Canis lupus familiaris: one gene and its partners. Each later gene encodes a partner of the first gene's protein in a complex. Links are inferred from orthologs where the notes say so. Each region holds a gene or a part of one and is shown in the gene's direction. Other genes may lie near its edges. The genes, in order: PIN1, CPEB1 and SMAD2.

Region 1 (4,286 bases):
TTTGAATGAATCCAGAAATTTTGGTATATAGTTTTTACACAATTAAGATAATTATACATATTCTGCAGCTTCCTTTTTGTTTTTTTTAATGCTTTGATATCTTTCTATAACTAATTATTTTCAATTAATGTTTGTTGATTTGTTATGCTTTCATACATACTATAATTGCTACACTGTACAGTGACTAGCTTTTCTTTTCACTCATCAAACATATTTTTGCTATGAGGCAGACGCTGTTTGGAGAGCATTCTACAGATTAACTCAATTTTTGCATCAAAGGTATGTATGAGATATATATATTTCTTATTCTCATTTGCAGATGGAGAAGCTGAAAAGCTGAAACACAGAGATTAGTTTCTTCAAAGTCATAGCCAGGCTTTGAACACAAGCGATCTGGCTCTTGAATGCTCTTAACCTACTATATCCTATTTCTTGTAGACATGTTTTCCCATGTTTTATATGACTGTGCCTCATTTTTTTTTTTTTAAGATTTTATTTATTCACGAGAGACACACACAGAGAGAGGCAGAGACAGGAAGAGGGAGAAGCAGGCTCCATGCATGGAGCCCGATGTGGTACTCGATTCCGGGACTCCAGGATCACGCCCTGAGCTGAAGGCAGGTGCTACGCCACTGAGCCACCCAGGGATCCCCGCCTCATTCTTTTTCAATGGTCACATAGGGGTCTAGTTCTAGATGAACTATCATTGAACTCTTCCTTGTTGGTGTCTTTGCCTCTCGTATCTATCTCCAGCCTGTCCCCAGGCACCTCCCCAGAGTCCCACAGGTGCCGCAGACTCAATTTTAAGACGATTCAAACTGAGCTCATCATCCTCCTACAGACGCATCCTCCTGTGTCGCCAGCTAAGTGGCCATGCCAACACCCACCAGTCACCCAGGACAGAGGCAGGAGCCAGACCGAGAGAATAAGTTAAGTAGGTTCCAAAGGAAGTAGAAGATGTTTGGTCAGTGGCACAGGGAAAGGGTTAGTCTCGCAAAAGAAAAAAAAAAAGTGGGGGGACAGCTTTGGACATCTGGAGGAAACAGGTGGGGAGAAGGAGGATGGAGGAGCCAAATTTAGGCTTCTTCGCTGCTCATCACCAAGGCAACTGCGTTGCTACGGCAACAGCTAAGGCAGCACCGCCTCTTTCAAGTACCTCGTGGGCTGCCGTCACCTCGAAACCACCCGGACACTTCCGCATAAGGGGGCGCGGGCCTCCGGGAACGGCTGAGGAAGGCGGGAACTACTGCCGCAGTAGCCAATCGGATGGGGCCTGCGGCGAAGGACGCAAAGGAGGTGCCCGGACTTCTGTGAAGCTCGCCGGAGGCTGTGGAGAAGGACGGGCTCCAGCCCCTTCCCTACCAGTCAGCGGCCGAGGGAGGAAGGGGGCGGGATCCGGGGGAGGCCGTACGGGGGCGGGACCCGGTAGAACGCACGGAGGGTCCGCCCAGTCTCGCCGCTACCCAATAGAAAGCCCGAAGGCCTCTCCGGACTGCTCGGGCGCCCAATGAGCATCGTCGCCGGGCCCCGGGGCGAGGCGGGCCGAGCCAATCGGCGGCGGCGGTGGGCGGGTGCGGGCGGCATAGGCGGTGCGGCGGAGGCGGAGCGGGCGCTGCGGCAGGAGGGAAGATGGCGGACGAGGAGAAGCTGCCGCCCGGCTGGGAGAAGCGCATGAGCCGCAGCTCAGGTGCCGCGGGGGTCGGGGCTGGGGCGGGGCCGCGCGGGCCCGCGGAAGCAGGGCTCGAGCTCGCCCCTGGGGCGCGGCGCCGCCGCCCGATTCCCGTGGGGTCTTGGCTCCTCCGCGTCTTCCCAGGGTAACGGCCCGGGCCCGCCCCGTGGGGGCTGCGAACCTCAGGAGCGGGGATGCCGGAGGAAACTGAGGCAAGGGGCGGGGCCGGAGAGACCCAGCGCGCTGCCGGGGGTGGGGGGGGCGGGGGCGGGGGGCCGGGGATCCCGCAGCACTCCCCCAGGTGATGGCCCTGGCCCTGCCGATCCGGCTGACACCTTTTGGCCTATTGCACCCGACGTCCCCGGGGACCGTGTCTGCACCCTGCTGGGCCCGGGGGGCACCCCGGGGAAGGACACCCCAACCCCACGCTCAGGGCGTGGCCTCAGAGCGTTGCCGGGCCTCGGGCCCACAACCTGCCCCTGCTAACCCGCCGGCCATCCCCGCCTAACCCGAGTCTGTCGTCGCCGCCCGGTGGATGGACCCTGTGCCGGGAGCCCGATCTGAGGCTTATCCACAGTAATAATACCCGTAACCGCACGCTCATCTTACCGCCCAGCCCTGTGCCAAGTGTGTTTGGAGTGTGTTCTCCCTCTCTCTCTCTGAATGACCACAACTCTGGGAGGTGGATAGTTATCACCCCGTTTTGCAGGTGAGGAAGCAGAAGTCAGAAAACTTAAGGAGCTCCCCCAAGGTCATTCATTTCAGGGGGTGGGGGCTGGATTAGAGTCCGGTCAGTCTGACAGCAGAGCCCGCCTGCCCTTGTCACTGCAGACCAGTGAGGAGCAGGCCCAGCATCTCACCGCACTGCCTCCCCAGCCCATAAAAATCACAGTCACAGTGATATCTGCTCATTGAAGGCCAGGCCCTCTGGTGAGCACTTTGCACGGATCATCACTGTTCTCCACATTAGCCCCGTGAAGTTATGTCCTTAATCTCTCGCTTCACCCCCACTTTTCAGATGAGAAAACCAAGGTTCATGGAGAGAGAGGCCATTGCAAGGTTTTAGGGTCGGTCACTGGCTCAGCTCTCACTGAGCCCGCTCCAGCCCTGCTCCGTGGCCACAGCTGACAGCATGAATCCTGATGCTCTGCCCTGTTCTGGGCCCCCTCTCTGGCCATTTCTGCTCGGCTCCACCCTAATGGTCTTCCTCAGGGGTGACCTTCAGTTCTTCACGGTGCTGGGTGCCAGTCGTGCAAAAATCTCAGCCCCTGGAATGATGCCTGGGCTCTCCTGGGTTCTACCTCAATCTTCTCTCTTGTGGCCTTCCCTCCTTCCTGCTCCTTGGGCCCTGGGTAACGTTTGACCCCCCTGTACTGCTGGTCCATAGTTGTGCAGCGCTGTACACTGGGTGCGGGTTAAGAACAGAGCTTTCATGTTTGGCAACCTGGGTTTAATTCCTGCCTCCAGCCATGTGTGCCTGGGGCCAAGTGTACACTCAGGAAACATTCCAAAGGTGTGGAAGGTGAGGCCTCACTTCTGTCGTCTACAGGGAGATGATAGCTGTCACGCTCCTAATGTGTACTGGGCACTAGTCTAAGTGTGTTACCGCTGTGAGCTCACTCAGTCCTTAGCACAACCCTACAGGCAGGGACTGTTGTTATCTGCATTTTACAGGTGACAAAATCAAGGCCCAGAGAGGTTAGCTCACACAGTGAGTGACAGCCAGACTTGAACAGGCAGCCTGGCTGCCTGTCCCCACACCGGCTTCGTCTCTCCTGTCACTCTGGGTGGTTTTCCTCCTTGAAGTCACTAATAACTGAAGTTATGACATTGTCTTATTTGCTTGTCTGGGGCCTGCCCATCCCCATCTAGAATGCTGGCTCCCTCGGGGCCTGTAGCTCGAGGTGGACTCAGGGGATTTGTTGAATGAAGGAATCCCATTGGCCGGTCCGTCATCTTGGCCTCCGGGTGGTGTCCTTTGAGCAGGTCCCAGCTGAATTCCTGTATCCCCCCTCCTCCAGGCCGGGTATACTACTTCAATCACATTACTAATGCCAGCCAGTGGGAGCGGCCGAGTGGCAACAGCAGCAGTGGCAGCAAAAATGGACAAGGGGAGCCCACCAGGGTCCGCTGCTCGCACCTGCTTGTCAAGCACAGCCAGTCCCGGCGGCCCTCATCCTGGCGACAGGAGAAGATCACCAGGACCAAGGAGGAGGCCCTGGAGCTGATTAATGGTGAGCAGAGTTGGAAGCAGGTTGGAGTGGGGGGAATGTGGGGAGAGGTTGTCCCCTCATTGGGAGCTGGAGCCAGCCTCGTAGAAATCACACCAGGCCCTGCACCCCAGCTAACTCAGCTGTCAGCATTGGCTGCCACCGAACTGCCTGTACGTGACGTGAGCCTGGACTGCACAGCTGCCTCTCCTTTTTCTTTCTATTTGGCATTTGAGGGTGAGCCAGGTTACGAGAGGAGGACCCAGCCTTGGGGGCTGGCAGCCCTGGGTTCAGATGGTGGCTATGCCCTGTAAGCTCCAGGGGGAGCTTGTGTCATCTTGAGACTCAGTTTTCCCCTCTGTAAAATGGGTGTTGTCACATACCTGCCCATACCTGGTGTGTAGGTG
Region 2 (3,512 bases), on another chromosome or scaffold:
TGCGAACGTGTATGGAACTTATTCTCTACGGAATAGAGGGTGCCTTATACACTCCTCAAGCCATACATTTCAGGACCCAAGCAGCAGAGTCTCTTTTTACAAGTTACTTCAAGAGCTTTGAGAAAGTTAATTTCAAAAGTTAATATGGGAGTTCTTGCATTGTTCTGTTTCTTGGCCTGCTTGGTGATTTTCTTTAGCCTTGAAACAGTAACCATTTATGTACCTTTACATGTGTTATCTCAAAATTTCTAAGGGAAGATTTTAAAAATCATGCATTAGTAATTATCAGAGCCAGAATTTTAAACCCAGTCAGGCTGACTGTAGCTCCTTTATCCTCTTTACCTACCCATGCCACCTGTCAGTTTGAGGCCATGATGAATGTATGAACTGGTGCCTCAGAGTTAATTTATATAGCACATGCTCTTTATCCACAGCCATGTGTGACAGGTGAGGCACATGTGCTAAAGTAGGATTAGCAAATGGATGAGAATAGATGAGGGATATAGGAGACTGTGGAAGTAAATACATGGGAATGACTATGAGAAATTATCATAAAATAAAATACAATTTCAGGTGCCTTCTGAGCCTTTCTCCCCTGCCAAACCCCTGTCCGGTGACCATTCAGTGAATAGGATGGCTTTTCTTGCCCTTTTCTCTTCTATATCCAGGACTGGTACCTTTGGATGTGGTTAGTTTACTATCCAGAGCGTGAACTTTTAGGGTCTGTCTGTCTCCTGTCAGCCTGTCCTAGAATATGAAAGCTAGGTGTTCCCACTGCTTGTTGGTTTTATCTGTTAGGCTATGTTTCCAGATGGGTAATAACAAGCAGGTCCTTTTGATTCTCTGGACTGTAGTTTACTCCCCTATAAAATAGGGTTGGATGCTTGGGGTTCTGCTTATGTTAATTCAGATGGGGGCATGCCTGGGTGGCTCAGTGGTTGAGCATCTGCCTTCAGCCCAGAGCATGATCCTGGAGTCCCGGGATCAAGTCCCACATCGGGCTCCCTGCATGGAACCTGCTTCTCCCTCTGCCTATGTCTCTGCCTTTCTCTCTCTCTCTCTCTGTCTCGTATGAATAAATAAATAAAATATTTAAAAATAATAATAATAATAATAATTCAGATGGAACTCTGTCTTGAAAATTTACCTCATAACTAAATTTGATATTCTGGGATTTTGTTTAAAGAATTTTCTCAGATACCATACTCCCAAGGGTTAATTGGTGAAGGGATATGAGCAGACAGCTAACAGATGGAGAGAAATAAGGGCACCTGGGTGGTTCAGTGGTTGAGTGTCTGCCTTTGGCTAAGGACATGATCCCTGGATCCTGGCATCGAGTCCCACATTGGGCTCCCTGCAGGGATCCTGCTTCTCCCTCTGCCTATGTCTCTCTGTCTCTCTCTCTCTATCTCTCATGAATAGTTAAGTAAAAATCTTTTTTAAAATTTTCAAAAAAGGAAAAAAGAGGCGGTATTTGAATTTACAGGAAATATTCTGAGTAATTAGTTTGTGGGGTCTTTTTTTGATAATGTATCATTTTTATCTACTTAAGTAAAATTTAGTACTTTGACATAAGCTTATAATAAAACCCACACTCTCATACATTTCTGATAGAAAGCAGAACCTCATAGAAAGCATGTTGGCATTTTATATCTAGGAATTGAACCTAGAAAAAAACCCACCATACATATAAAGCAAGAAGTTATACCTTAAAGTTTGTATTTATAATCCTGAAAACTTGGAACGTGTCTAAATGTTTAACAGTAGGGGAGTAGGTTAGCGAAATGTAGCATGTTCCCTAAATAGATTATCATAAATTAATTAAAAATGATTATGAAGACTGCCTGGGAATATGAAAAAAAATGAATTGGGGAGAAAAGTATTTGTTTAAATTATAGCATAGAACAACTAATCAAAAATGAATAAGAAGAAAGCCTAAAAGAAAATATCAGACCTAACTGGTATAATTTCTATATAGAGTATGATTATTGATTTTATAACAAAACTGTCCTTTAAAAACCTGTATCTTCCTTTTTGCTTCCCTAGTCAAGCCTTCGAATTTCCCCTCCACTCCCCTTCCTGTCTCTGACGGGGGGTGGTCCCAGAGACCCTTTAAAGATGGGGGTTGGGTCCCGGATGGACCAAGAGCAAGCTGCTCTCGCTGCGGTCAGCCCCTCCCCAACCAGTGCATCCAAGAGATGGCCAGGAGCTTCTGTGTGGCCATCCTGGGATCTCCTCGAAGCTCCCAAAGACCCGTTCAGCATAGAAAGAGAGGCCAGGCTGTACCGGCAAGCTGCAGGTGAGTGTGGATGTGGCCATGCGTGGGGCCTGAGGCCTTGTTCTGGGCACAGGGAGTATGTGACCTTAGTTCCTAGACTGGTGAACTGTCCAGAAGAGGGACTTAGTTGTGTGGTGAAGTCTCTGGTCTGTTTTGTGGGGTAAGTACTAATGGGACAAACTCAGGAATTTCTCTGAGGCTGAACAGAGAGGAAAGACGCTGTGCCCGTATGGGGTTGGAGGCATCTCTTCCTTGTGGTCTTTCATGGAGGTTGGCTGTGTACCAGTGTAGCTTTTGATTCTTTTCACGGGTGGGCATCTTCAGGAGATACCCTGGAAGTGATGCCCAGAATTCCACCTTTCCCCTTTCTAATTCAGAAACCTGTGAGATATATAACCTATGCTGGAGCTATTTTCCCTGAGGCTTTCTGTTTGGTATCAATCAGTTTACCAAGGCTTCCAGGAGATACTCACCGACTGCTCTTCTGAGGTTCTGGAGTTGATAACTAAGTGAATGTTCAGTTTCTCTATCCATTTGTTTTTTGTAGGCTTCAGTACATTTGTCCCATCACAAAACTGGACCTGATCTCATTCTCCCCTGATAGTTCTGCTGCCCTGTTCACTTAAAGGTTTTGGCAGCCCATGATTGTATTAGTGCCACTGTTTGCCTGTGAAATGACATTACCTTGCTTTTGGATGGGGCCGTTATATTGATTTATGTTTTTGTTTGCAAAATATTGCTGATGGTACCCAAGTTCTTGGCGTAGCAGCACCCTGGATCTGTGCCTTTTAAGGAATGAGCTTCCATGTCATTGTCCTGGATGGAAGTGATGGTTTTTTGGCGCCCTGCCCCAGTGCTGAAGTACTAAAATGGGCAAGAACGAGCCAGTCCCCACTGAGCTTAGTCTCTGGTCTGGAAAGGCATAAATTGAGACAGGTCAAAGGCCAAACTGGTTGCCAAGAACGGAGAGGCCTCTAGGTTTTATAATAGACCAAACAGAAGATAGTTTCTACTCTGTAGAGCAAGAGTGGTTTCTTAACAAGGTGTTTAAGTCAGAGAAACTTCACTGTGAGTTTAGACAAGCTCGGATTTGGTATAAATTGGAAGTGGGGTAGGTGGGGGAATATCCATTATCTTACAGTGTTGGCATCAAGGAAGGCCCAGTGTCCGTTCAGGTGCTGTGAGACACCGGCAGTGATGGGACATGGCTCTGAGTAGGTGGAACAGTGGAGAC
Region 3 (3,999 bases), on another chromosome or scaffold:
TGTAGTCCTACGGTGCTCGCCGCCAAACATAGTAGATGCTTAGTAAGTAAATACTTGAACGTGATTAGTCGGGGTCCATGCTTCCGGCCGAGGCTTGGTGTCTGCAGGGTCAAAGCGACAAGGTTACGGCAGTGCGGATGCCCAGCCGCCCCCCCGGCTTTGGGCGGCCTGGACGGCCTGGGCGGCCGGCAGCTTAGGGCCTCCGGGTCGGGGCCTGCGAACACCGCCTGGACGCCGGAGAAACGAGGAGGAAGGGAGGGCCAGAGAGCGGTGAGGAGCATCGTGTTAGGCTCCTAGCGTCTAGACCTGGCGAGGGCCTCTCGGAGCATGCGGCAGTCGCACCACCTTCCGCGAAGGCGGAACCACGTCCCGGCTCTTCAGAAACACCTGGCATCCCCCCGCCCGCCGCGGGGGCCCGGAGAAGAGCCCCGCCAGCGCCGGTTTGCGGCTCGGCCCCCGCCCCGTTCGGCTGCACGAGGGCCCCGCCCACTCACTCGGCGCGGTCGGCCCGGCCCCGGCTCGGCGCGTCCTCGAGGCGGCCCTCGGGCCTCCCCCGGGACGAGCACGTGTCCGCTCGCGGCGGGGTCCGGGCGGTGGGCTCGGCGGCGGCCCACGGGCCCCACCCAATGGCGCGGGCAGGACGGCGGGGCGGGGCCGGGCCGGGGCCGGCAGCGCGGCAGGTCCCGCGCCTTCCCGCCGCGGAGCCGCCCGCGGCAGCGCGCCCCAGACGTCGCCAGCCGAGGCCGCGGGCGTGCCACCCCGCCTCGGCCCCGGCCGCCCGCCCGCCCGCCCGGCGGCCGCGCCTCGCCTCACGCTCTACGGGGGAGGCGGGACCAATCAGCGAGCGACGTCTCCCTTCCGATTCGAGGCCCCCGACGCGCGGCTCACACCCCGAGCACCGCGCGCGCTCATTGGCTGCGCGCGCCGCCGGTCCGGCCGGGAGGGCGGGGCGGCCGAAGGGAGCGGAGGTGGGGAGGTAGTGGCCCGCGAGTCTCCGAGCCCCGCTCGCGCCCCGGCCCTTCCCGGGCGCTCGGCCTCCCTCCTTCCCTCCTCCGCTCGCCCCGTCTTCCGTGCGCGCCGGGCGCTGCGCTCGGCCGGCGTGCCTCGCGCCCTAACGGGCGGCCGGGGGCGCCAATCAGCGGGCGGCAGGGTGCCAGCCCCGGGGCTGCGCCGGCGAATCGGCGGGGCTCGCGGCCCGGGGTGGGAGGCGGGTCTACCGCGCGGCCGCGGCGGCGGCGGAGCAGCTCCCAGCCAGCAGCCAGCGAGCGCCGAGCCAGCCGCCCGAAGGTGGGTGCGCCGCGCCGCGCCGCTGCGGCCGGCGGCGGAGGGCGCAGGGCGGAAGCGGAGGTGGGCCGGCGGGCGCGGCGGGGGAGGGCTCGGCCGTCCGGGCGGCCCGGGGCGGGGGGCGGGGGATGCGGGCGGGCTCGCGCCCGAGGGGAGGAGGGGCGGCGGCGCGGCGCGGCGGCGGCGGCGGCGGCGGCGGCGGCGGCGGCGGGACGCGCGTCCCCACCCCCTCCCTCCCGCGGGCGGTGGCCGAGCCCGCGTCCCCTCCCCGCGCGCGGGGCCGCGGGCCGGGCACTGGCTGGGGGGCGGGGCGGGCCGGGCCGGGCCGGGCGGCCGCGGGAGTGTTTTCAGTTCCGCCTCCAGTCGCCCCTTCCCCTCTCCCCTCCCAGCCCCTCATCCCATTCGGAAGAGGAAGGAACAAAAGGTCCCGGACCCCCGGCTCTGACGGGGCGGGACCCGGAGCCCCGGTGCAGGTAAAGCGGCGGCGCCCGGCGGGCCCTCGGGGTAGGGGTGTGTTTGCGTCGGGCTCGGGTCTCGGCGAGGCTCGGCGCGTCGCACGGCCCTGGGGGCCGGGGTGTGGCGGGGTCGGGGCCGGGGGCGCGGGGGGGCGCGGGGGGGCGCGGGGCCTGGGTCGGCGCCGGAGCTGCCCGGCCGTGGCCCGTCTCCCCTGCCGCGAACACGCTTCGTACTTTGTGGTTCTGATTTTCAAAGCCGGAGGGACCGAGCTCTTCTTGTTTCGGGAGTTGTTGGCAAGCCCTGGTAGGAGCGTGCGATACTTCGCTTCCACTTTTTTTTTTTTTTTTTTTGGTCCTGTAACCTTTGTTAACCATTCTAAACCCGGGGTTCGGAACTGCTCGCGTGTACTCTGCACAAGCAGGCACACGGCTGATCCTCCGTGGAGATCCTGCACTCACTTGTGAAAGTTGCCCTGGGAGTGGAGCCTGTTGGTTTTTATCACACGCCTTTTAGAAAGCACGCTAATTGATTTCACGTATTTCAAACTTGGTTTACACATTTGCAACCTTAATGGTTTTGTTCTCTCTTGGGGGATACTGTCCTTGGGGTTGGGTACTTTTGCCTTTTACTTACTTAACCTTTCTGTGGTTATGGTTTCCTTTTGATCCTAAACAAAAGAAAAAACAATACCTAGGTTGGTTTTGGTGTTCCTTCCTCTTGACCCCTTAAAAGCTAAATACTACCGGCTGGTTGTTCATTAAACCATTATTTTAAAAACCATCTCCGGGTGGAACGATTCTGGAAGTAGCATTTTCCGTGAAAACCGTGTCTTGTTTGTTACACTTTTAAGTGTCCTCAATTTTGCTGTCTTGAACTTCTAAAGTAACACATGTAAAGTAACTATTAATGAATAAATAAATGGTCACTGCAGACCTGCTTGGAGTTATTCCATTTTTCGAAAGTGCCCCCCCCCCCAAAATCTGAGTTAATTTACAGAATTTTTAATGATTCTGCAGTCTTAGTTCCTTTCCATTTTCCTTCTGAATTTTGTGTGAATTGAACCTGTACCACTGATTGTAAGGAAGTTTTTCCTTGAGCAGAATAAGAAAACAAATTTGCTACCACTCTGAAAATACATTTGCTATTGTTCTACTTTTGATTTTGACTCCCTTTAAAAAGTTTTTCTTAGGTAGAAGTGTAAGTTAAATAGTTAAATGAAGTTTGAGGAGTTTTAATGTAAATAAAGAGATAAGGGAAGCAAATGTAACAGTTGGGAGAGATAACGTGAAACGGATTTCATAAATGTGTCCTAGTTTGAAGATTTTATTTTTTCATTTGCTTTGAAAAAAACCATACAGGATATTGGTGGAATTTTTCTGAATCAGACGGTCATTTACCAAACATTTACATTAAATTTAGAAAGTAACGCTGACTTTATTTTTAAGGTTCCTTAGTTTTTGCCATAAAACTAGTTACGGTAGTAAATAAGAATATTTTGAGTCCAGGTGCTCACTTAGTTCTCTTAAAGTTGAGTTTAAGGTAGTTCAGTGGCCAGTTTTTATAAATGTGATAGGAAACATCCATTTCTGGGCTTGTTTAGTAAGAAATCGCTCTTTGGGCTTCGCTTTTGTACTTTGTAGCTATGCCTTCTATAGTGCTTTCACATTGTAGGTGTTCAGCAAGAGTTAGGTTTTCGTGGCTGTAACTTCTTACCTGTGCCTAGGCATAAGTGATCAAATCTCTACACAGTCTGTAAGGTTCATGTAATAATAGTCTTGTAAGAAACCATGCAGGGTAATTTCCTGTTGTTTGTGGCTTGTCAGGCCCGGTATGTGTTTTAACTAAGTAGGGATTTGGGGATGGTTTTGTGTATTTCAGCAGTCCTTTCTCTTTAATAGGAACAAAGCTGGTTTCTACTTCAAGATGGCAAAAGGTCCCCTTTTCATTTTCCTACTGTAAATATTAGAATCATATTGCCATAATCTTGTTACTTCACGTTGGGGGGAGATATGTGAGTGAAAAACAGTTGAGCTGCATCATCCACTGATCAAAGACCCATTTTTATATTTAGCAAATATTTTCAGTTTGGGCTTTTATAAATGTCTGAAAGCTCCCCTTATTCTTGTTTGGTTTTTATTCTGTTGGTTTTGTGCTTTAGGGCTCCAAAGGCCTTGTTTTGTAGCAGCTTTTTATACAGGTGTTTTTGTAATGCATATAAAAGCTGTATTTAGTGCAGTCTGGCAGATGGGGGCTTATTCA

Evidence for each region.
Region 2: the proteins of PIN1 (region 1) and CPEB1 are in contact, whole or in part, in an NMR structure (PDB 2N1O), measured with the Homo sapiens proteins. The link is inferred for Canis lupus familiaris from reciprocal best matches to the Homo sapiens genes PIN1 and CPEB1. Residues at the interface, in NP_006212.1 of Homo sapiens: Arg17, Tyr23, Ser32, Gln33, Trp34, Glu35; in NP_001352172.1 of Homo sapiens: Arg206, Ile207, Ser208, Pro209, Pro210, Leu211, Pro212, Phe213.
Region 3: the proteins of PIN1 (region 1) and SMAD2 are in contact, whole or in part, in an NMR structure (PDB 2LB3), measured with the Homo sapiens proteins. The link is inferred for Canis lupus familiaris from reciprocal best matches to the Homo sapiens genes PIN1 and SMAD2. Residues at the interface, in NP_006212.1 of Homo sapiens: Glu12, Arg14, Met15, Ser16, Arg17, Ser18, Tyr23, Phe25, Trp34; in NP_001003652.1 of Homo sapiens: Pro218, Glu219, Thr220, Pro221, Pro222, Gly224.

The regions. Positions count from the first base shown.
Region 1 is NC_049241.1:51,560,367-51,564,652, reverse strand, and holds the start of PIN1 (peptidyl-prolyl cis-trans isomerase NIMA-interacting 1), read left to right. Parts: upstream 1-1,481; 5' UTR 1,482-1,629; coding exon 1,630-1,687; intron 1,688-3,690; coding exon 3,691-3,903; intron 3,904-4,286. UniProt on the Homo sapiens protein: Peptidyl-prolyl cis/trans isomerase (PPIase) that binds to and isomerizes specific phosphorylated Ser/Thr-Pro (pSer/Thr-Pro) motifs.
Region 2 is NC_049224.1:54,906,356-54,909,867, reverse strand, and holds part of CPEB1 (cytoplasmic polyadenylation element-binding protein 1), read left to right. Parts: intron 1-2,046; coding exon 2,047-2,299; intron 2,300-3,512.
Region 3 is NC_049228.1:43,687,448-43,691,446, forward strand, and holds the start of SMAD2 (mothers against decapentaplegic homolog 2), read left to right. Parts: upstream 1-1,189; 5' UTR 1,190-1,287; intron 1,288-1,673; exon of another isoform or gene 1,674-1,757; intron 1,758-3,999. UniProt on the Homo sapiens protein: Receptor-regulated SMAD (R-SMAD) that is an intracellular signal transducer and transcriptional modulator activated by TGF-beta (transforming growth factor) and activin type 1 receptor kinases.